2 linked regions of the Coturnix japonica genome follow. The protein of the gene in region 2 purifies or fractionates together with the protein of the main gene of each other region. This does not show direct contact. Links are inferred from orthologs where the notes say so. Each region holds a gene or a part of one and is shown on either strand. Other genes may lie near its edges.

The links.
Region 1: the proteins of LZTR1 (region 2) and RIT1 purify together in Homo sapiens (affinity purification with mass spectrometry; 3 studies listed by BioGRID and IntAct, counting the BioPlex papers as one, with this or other methods). This does not show direct contact. The link is inferred for Coturnix japonica from reciprocal best matches to the Homo sapiens genes LZTR1 and RIT1.

Annotation. Positions count from the first base shown.
Region 1 is NC_029540.1:1,802,743-1,807,224, forward strand, and holds the start of RIT1 (GTP-binding protein Rit1), read right to left. Parts: upstream 2,892-4,482; 5' UTR 2,761-2,891; intron 2,590-2,760; 5' UTR 2,579-2,589; coding exon 2,491-2,578; intron 2,390-2,490; coding exon 2,333-2,389; intron 2,153-2,332; coding exon 2,079-2,152; intron 1,449-2,078; coding exon 1,257-1,448; intron 539-1,256; coding exon 308-538; 3' UTR 1-307.
Region 2 is NC_029541.1:986,156-989,960, forward strand, and holds part of LZTR1 (leucine-zipper-like transcriptional regulator 1), read left to right. Parts: intron 1-687; coding exon 688-871; intron 872-2,226; coding exon 2,227-2,396; intron 2,397-3,805. UniProt on the Homo sapiens protein: Substrate-specific adapter of a BCR (BTB-CUL3-RBX1) E3 ubiquitin-protein ligase complex that mediates ubiquitination of Ras (K-Ras/KRAS, N-Ras/NRAS and H-Ras/HRAS).

The sequences.
Region 1 (4,482 bases), on a different chromosome or scaffold from region 2:
CAATGCAGCGACCAAAAAGTGCAGCGTCAGAAACCTACCAGCATCTGTAACCAACATACAAGCAGTATTTGGAGAATCCGGTCTAAAAATGACAACAAACAGAAGTCAAATTGTTACCGTGTCTCGAGTTAAATATCCAGAACTAAGAGAGAATATCATTTGAAGCAAAAAAGAATGGCTAAGAGTGATGCTCCCCCTCACACAAGTCCCATCAGTCTTTAAACCTACTGCTGAAATGTTGTCATTCAACCGCTTTGGTTACGAGTGGCTGCTCCCATGTTTTCTCTTACAGAGGAGTTCGTTCTCTTCAAGTGACCGAATCCTTCTTCCTCCTGAACGGGGATTTCAATCTTTTCCAAACGCTGCTTTTAGGTTTGGATTTTTTCTCCATTGCCATCACTGCTTCTTTCTCTTTCCTGCGGATTTCTCTCACCAGAGCATGGAACACGTCGTCGATGTAGTAACGATACGCAGCCGAAGTCTCAAAGAAAGGACAGTTGAATTCTCGTGCCAATGCAGAACCTTCTTCTTTGGAGACCTGCAAAAAAAAACCCCATATACTTGTCAAGAAAGCCCAAACCAGGCAGGTTCTTCCTTCCTCTCTTCTTGTTCACGGCTAAGAGCTGCGTGTGCACCCTCCCCATTCCAGAACTGCCCACCTCCACCCATGTCTGCATCTTTCTTTACAAACCCTCTTCTCTTTCATCCATCAAGCAACGTAACCACCCATAGGAGACTCAGCAGATACAGAAGCTCTGGTTATTCAAACAAGAAAAGCCTTTCAGAGAGTATTCCCTTCCCACAATATAGTCCTGGATGCCTGATGAGAGCAGCCCTCAGCCCACAATGAACGTCTGTCAGTTTCCCACAGACAAGAGTTACCATTCCCTTAAGCTGAAGCTCCCTTTCTGTTCATTCTTACCCCCATTATTACACCTCCTTTCTTAGCAGACTCGCATCCTTAGGTCTGTAATACTTACAAGGGGTTTATGCAGTGCCGTACCCCCATTAAAAGAAGGAAATAAAGACAGGAAAAGCCCAAGAGCAGCTGAAACTCAAAGCATCAACTGGAAGATTTCACTCCCATGGTAGTTACATGCTATATGCATATATAGCTATAGCTATTCAGCACTCCAGTTTAAATTCATACAGCTCTCATGTTCAACATACTACAGAGTGAACCCCAAAGGAATTAAGAACACGATCTATCACCATGTTCTGAAGCAGGTGGGAAGGTCTATTTGGGAGCCACATACCTGCCTCAGCTGCGTCAGGTCCGATTTGTTCCCCACCAGAACCACGGGGGTGTCGTCGGTGCGTCGGACACGATAAATGAGCTGCTTGAACTCACGCACTTCGTGGAAGCTGCGTCGATCTGTGATGGAGTAGCAGATGATAAACCCCTCTCCAGCCCTCATGTATTGGTCCCTCATGGCCGTGAACTCTGCCTACAAACAGAGCGCGACACAAACACAACCGTTGTTTGATTTGCTCAAAATTGGAAGCATTTCTCTCCTCATCCTGTCACACAAAGGACAAAACTCTACGGGATCAACACCACCTTTCCCTTGGTAAAGAAATAAACATAAGGAAGTATTTTGTATCTGTAGAAGGACCCAAGGGATGATACGTACCCTAAGAGGACAGGCTGGGAGAGCTGGGGCTGCTCAGCATGGAGAGCTGAGAGCGGCCTTTCAATTACTAAAGAGGCTGTAATTAAGGAGGGGACGGGCTCATTAGCAGAGCCTGCTGTGAGGAGACTGAGGGAAGAGATATCAAACTAAAAGAGGAGATTTCAATTAGGTACAAGAAGGGAGTCAAACCAATCCAAAGACTATCAGCCAATACACATCATGTGCTGAGTGCGGGCAGTGAGATGAGATCTCCATTGCATTCGTGTGCTGTGTTAGTGACACATGAATGAAGTGCTGCCTGGGCTGCCTAAACAACAGCGATGCTGTGGGTATAAGGATGAATTCAGACAGCTCTAAAGGCCACTCAGAAGAACAGAAAGGCACATTGCTGTGGGGTTCTTTCTATCCCTGTATCCTCCCATGCACTCAATGCTGCTCACCAACCTGTCCCGCTGTATCCAATATATCCAGGTTGGCAGGTTCGTCGTCGATGCGTATCCGTATCTTATAGGCATCCTCTGGATCCGCAGCACGTCGGGGGAGAACAAAACGTGAACTGAACGCCATTGCAAAACTCATTCATCACCGACACACACGCAAAGGGGGAACGTTACACAAAGGGAGCCCCACTTCAAAGCACCGGACCCACAGCAGCGCGACCGCGGGGGGCTGAGCGGGTCGGGGGGGGCTGTTCTCACCGATGGTCGGGTCGTGATCCTCGGGAAAGCGGTGACTGATGAACTGCATCGTCATGGCTGCAATGGAGAGAAACAATGGAAGAGAAACAATGTCAGACGATGCCCAACGCGGCCCCAACGGCGGCACAGCGCGGAGCTCCGCCCGGCTCCTCACTCACCGCTCTTCCCGACGCCGCCGGCTCCCAACATCACCAGTTTATACTCCCGGGGCTGCCCCGCTCCGCCCGGCCGGGCTCCGGCGTCCATCTCCAAAGCTCCTGAACGGGAGGAAAACAGCGTGAGGCCCGGCAGCCCCTCGTGAGGCCCGGCAGCCCTCTATAAGGCCCGGCAGCCCTTCGTAAGGCCCAGCAGCCCCTCGTGAGGCCCGGCAGCCCTTCGTGAGGCCCGGTAGCCCTTCATGAGGCCCCGCCGCTCCTCTCCCCGCTCACCTCAGGCCGCTCCGTGACACCGCCGCCGCCTCAAGGCCCGGCCCGGAGCGCAGCCGCCGAGCCCAAAATGGCGGCGGGGCCGCGCCAACGGGAGACCGCCCCTCACTGAGCCACGCCCCCTTTAAGCCACGCCCCTTAAGACACGCTCCCTTTAAACAACACCCCTTTGCTAGGCCACGCCCCTTAATTAAACCACGCCCCCTTTGAGCCCATACCCTTGCTTAAGCCACGCCCTTTTAAAGCCACGACCCCTCTTTACGTAACCCACGCCCCCTTTAACACCACCCCTAAGCCACGCCCCCTTACCTAAGCTCCGCCCCCGTTTAAGCCCCACCCCTTGCTTAAGCCCCTCCCCCTTTAATCCCATCCCTTACTCACGCCCCGCCCCCTTAAGCCCCACCCCCTGGTTAAGCCCCGCCCCTCCAAACAACACCCCTTGTTAGGCCACGCCCCCTTACTTAAGCCCCGCCCCCTTAAGCATCGCCCTTACTTAAGCCCCGCCCCCTTTAAGACCCGCTCCTCTAAACACCACCCCCTTGCTAAGCCCCGCCCCCTTACTTAAGCCCCGGCCCCTTTAAGCTCCACCCCTTGAGACCCGCCTTTTTAAACACCACCCCTTGCTAAGCCACGCCCTTACTTAAGCCCCGCCCCCTTGAAGTCCACCCCTTAAGCCCCACCCCTTGCTTAAGCCCCGCCCCTCTAAACACCACCCCTTTGCTAAGCCCCGCCCCCTTTAAGCCCCACTCTTTGCTTAAAGCCCCGCCCCCTTAAGCCCCAATTCTTCCGTAAGCCCCGCCCCCTTTAAGCTCCGCCCACTAATTAAGCCCCGCCCTCTTTAAACCTCCATTCTTACTTAAGCCCCGCCCCCTTTAAGCCCCACTCCCTTACTTAAGCCCCACCCCCCACATGACCACGCCCCTCCTTGGCCCCGCCCCCGCCGACTTGCTGGCATTTAAAGGCGCAGCTCACCAAACCAGCGCGTGTTTTTATACATCATTTATACATTTATTTATAATGAAAGCATGGTTCTGAATTTATTTACAAGACATAGGAAAAAGTCAATGTTTGTACAAAAGGTGCCAGCCGCTCCCTGCACTGATAGGCCGGAGCCATCGCTGCTGTTCCAGGAGCTGCTGCTGTTGTCCCACACCCCATTAGCTCTGCAGCACCCAGCCCTGCCATTAACGTTGTGCTTCATGTCCATAGAGATAAATGCACACCATTCAGATCAAGCAATGGCTCAGCTCTGTGCCAAACCAACCCGCTGCCTTTTTCTCTCTCTCTTCTTGTTTAAAACAGAACGGGTGGAATCAAAGTGAGTTATAAGATGTGGGAGAGAAGCTTGGAAGAGCCACAGGTCCCGTATGAGTTGCATGAAGGAGGCAGGGATTGCTGGAGGTGGGTGAGCAGCTGTGTGACAGCAGCAGGATGGACCCACAAAGAGCCAAACACCCCCCCTAAATCCCTTGGCTGGAAGCAGAAGTCGTGGGGTTAAACCACATTGCAAAGAGAACACAACGTGGAGTTACAACAGGAGGTGCCTTAAAGCAAAAGGATCGACTTCAAGAAACACAATCAGATCGCTCTGAACTATTGGATCCTGCTTTTCCCTTTCTCACAAGTCCAAACATTGAGAAGCCACAGTCACCACAAACGGGACCGTGAGCACGGGCTGAAAGCAGGAGCATGAAATAAATACAACACCAGGTGGGTGGTGGAGTC
Region 2 (3,805 bases):
GATCCTAAGATGCTCTTGGGCCTGTAAAATAAAGAGGATAATTAGACAGATTAGAGGGAAGGTAGGATTAAGGTTTTGAGGCTGGCTGCCTTTTACCTCAATACTACGTGATTTTTCTGCAGTTTGGAGCATTATCCATCAGCTTTACTCACAGCTTCTCACCAAAAACTTGCTGTTGTCCTTCAGCATGTGGTAGCACACTACCTACAGTGAGACATATGGATGTCTCATTGCTCTGCAGTTCATTGCTTAGCCACCCCACAGCTTCATCTTCACCAGGAAAGGCTGTCAGAGCAAAACTTGGAAGTAACAGAGCGGCTTAAAATACTGTTGTGCAGCACTTGAGCTCTGCCATTGCAATGCAGGGATCTGTGGAACTTGCTTCTGCACCTTTCTTCTGCCTTGTCCAAGTAGAGATGCTGTCTCTGTTGGGACAGAATGTGAGCTCAGTGAAATTCATTCACTGATCCAGGTGTTCATTTTTGTTCCCATCCATGTTTGTCACATGGCATGGAACAAACAGGAATTGTAGTGCACGTGGACTACTTGTTATCTTGGGCATAACTTTGAAGATAATGAGGTCTTTGGATAACTGTGCAATGATGAGAAGGGTCTTTGGTTTGATAGTAATCTGTGGTGCTAATGCAGCCTTGTTGCCATGCTGGAGTGTTTTTCCTGTCTCACTAGAAATCGAAGCAAGACATTGAAGATGAGGGACACGCAGCGTGTCAGAAGGATGGCATTGGTGGCAACGTCAAACTGTGCCGCCTGCAGCCGCTGCTGGAAGTGCCCATCCGAGAGGCTGAAGCGCAGCCCTTCGAGGTGCTCATGCAGTTTCTGTACACAGATAAAATAAAATACCCTCGCAAAGGTAGGGCAGCAGGATAAGCACTGACAGCAAACGTTTTTTTGCTATTGTTTGGTCCATTGCAAACTAGGGCTGCACTGAAAGGCCAAGAAAGCCAGTATCTATCATCTCTTCTAAATGCCCAGACAAGGGAGTGCCTCAAGAAGTCCATTAGATGCACACATTGAAGATCCCTGTGTTATTAAGCAGTTGGAGGCCAGGAGGTAATTGCCAGAGATCTCTCAGCTCCAGCACAGCAAATCTGACTCCTGGCCCTGGTACAGTGCTGTTGTGCTGTGAGATTGGCAGTGGGGCACCCAGAGGGAACTCCAGCTGGGGGAGGAAAGGGAGCTGAGGCTGCACAGCACAGGTGTTCAAATGGAGGTGCATCAGCTCTAACACTGGAATCTTTGCTTCAGCTTTGGTTTGAGATCTTTCTATTCTAGAAAAGATCATCTTCAGTAAAATATTAATTTGTATGCAGTTGTTCCAAAGCTTTCCCTGCAAAGCTTAATTAATGAGGATGAGGGAACCTCCTTACTGGCTTCTGCTGACATTACCAGACCCAGCTCTCAGCTGTTCCCCTAATCCTCGGTGTGTTCCTTGCAGGAAGGTTCAGACCAAAGGAGGATTATCACACCCAGCTTCTCCCTTTGTTGCAGCAGGTTGCCCTCCCCCCTGGCCTCCCCAGTTCTCCCCAGTGTTTACCTCTCTGCAGCTTTACCAGTCTGCTGGGATCCTCCCAAGCTCCCACCCTGACTTTGTGTATTCCTGTCTGCTCCTGGGTTCAGGGGGCATTGCCCTGGGGGATCCTCTGTGCTGAGCTAATGGCACTTGGCACGCCTATCAAATGGGATTTTCCTTATTAGACACTGGGAAGCCAAATAGCATGCAAGAAGGCTTTTCTCTGTCAAAATGTAGCTACAGCAGATGGTCAGAGATCCCCTGTGAGGAAAGCAAAGACTGGAGGGTTATTTCTGGAGGCGATGTCTCAATGGCCCCATTGCAGTGGTCAGCCCAGGCCCCACAGCCCCTCTGTGCTGTGTAACCTCAGCTTCTAGGCTGACCTCTGGTCTGTACGTGTCCCATAACTGTCTGCATGTGCTTGAAAAACATTGGCCCAGAAACTCATTCAAGGTGGCTCTTTTACACCTCCATTTTGAGAGATCACTTCTTTCTTATTTTCAGTATCCGCCCTTGGTTTAATCTGGGCAGCAGTGGAACTTTTTATTCTCCATAGACACACTCTTCCAATTGCTGCCCATCGCGCTGTTCTGAACGCTCGGGTTGAGTCAGAAGAAATGCTTGGAGAAAGTTTCTCCTTTTGTTCGGTGAACTCTGGTGCCATGGAAAAGGGCTTTTCTCTCTCGTGCTTTCAGGCCATGTGCAGGATGTGTTGCTCATTATGGATGTGTACAAACTAGCCTTAAACTTCAAACTCTCTCGCCTGGAACAGCTCTGCCTTCAGTATATTGAAGCATCTGTGGATCTGCAGAATGTGCTCATTGTGTGTGAAAATGCTAACAAGCTTCAGCTGGATCAGCTCAAGGTAATCGCATTTTGCATACAAAGTAACTGATAAGAAATTAAAGACAATTTTGATGTAATTAATGTTTTGCAAAAGCTTGTCAGCTTTGCAAATTCGGTTCTCCCCTATAATTACGGCTGCCTGAGTTTGTGTCGGTGTGGATTGTACTGCAGGAGCTTGTGAATATTATACAGGCTTTTTCAATGAGTGATAGTTTTGCATGTCTGTCCTGGAAGATAGAGAGGGCAGAGTGACTTTGTCTCTTCCCCATTTGACTCTCACTGTAGTGAGATGGAAGCAGTGCATTTTCTGGTCACGGGGTTTAATGCTGAGCCTGTTAATGTGTTCTTTCACCTGATCTGATGGAAAACCAAACTCAGTTCTTAGACCTTTGATCTGAAAATCAGTGTTGGCAGCTCTCTGTATGGTGGGACTCTGAGGCGCTTGCTGAAATGCAGAGCTGATACCCACAGCCTTCAGACCGTGCTCTTGCTGCTGTGATCCCACCAAGAGTTACCAGAGCCAGTTCTGCTTCCAGCTGCAGAGAAGCAGCTCTCCACCCAAGACCAGCAATACATGCAAAATCACACAGTGCTGACTGGGACAGCTTGTGCAGAACAGGCCAGAGAGCTGATGCTTACAGCCAGAGTGGGGTTATGCAAACCGGTGTGCATCGGCACTTCCTTGGGCACTGTGCACTGGATGTGGGCAAAGGAGAGGCATCCAGGAGCACAGCAGTCAGCAGCAGTTACGTGCATGCTGGCACAGCCCTTGGTGCGTAGGACTGTGGAGCATCTCAGCACTGATGGATGCATTGCCAATGACAGCAGGTCAGCAGGCTGCATGGCTGCCAGCAGGGCAACAGGGGCTCTTCCACAGTGCTCCACTCGGTCAGGATGCTCTTGGGTTGGCATCCTGGTTCTCAGTGCCCAGTGCTCCTTGTGGCTGAGTGCCATCTGCACGAGGCTGCTCTTCCTGGCATCCCAGGCTTTATTTAAAGCATGGTTTCCGATGGGTCCCACACAGATCCTTGTAGATAGCAGCTGAACTCACTGTGACACAAAATGGAAATTAGTAATTATTCCTTGGCCTAATTTTGGACTCACCTTATGGTGAGCTGGTACAGATTACATTTTTTTTGCTTATTTAAATATCCTGAGGGAAAGCCTTGGTTTGCACTGCCAAATGGGCTGCTTTTTTTTTGTCATTCCCTTCACCGTTCAGCATTAGGTCTGGTTCATTTGTTACCTTTCTCCCACGTGGATTTTTGTAGCAGATTTGGCACATGAGAGCCTGCAAGGTCTCTTTCAGACTGTTTGCAGCCCTGTCAGGAGAGGTTGGGCAAAGTCTACACCATTTCCTGGAAATCCTTCAAGCTCCTTGTACCATTACTGAGTAGTATTGAAGAGTTAAGATCTCTCCACCCTTCT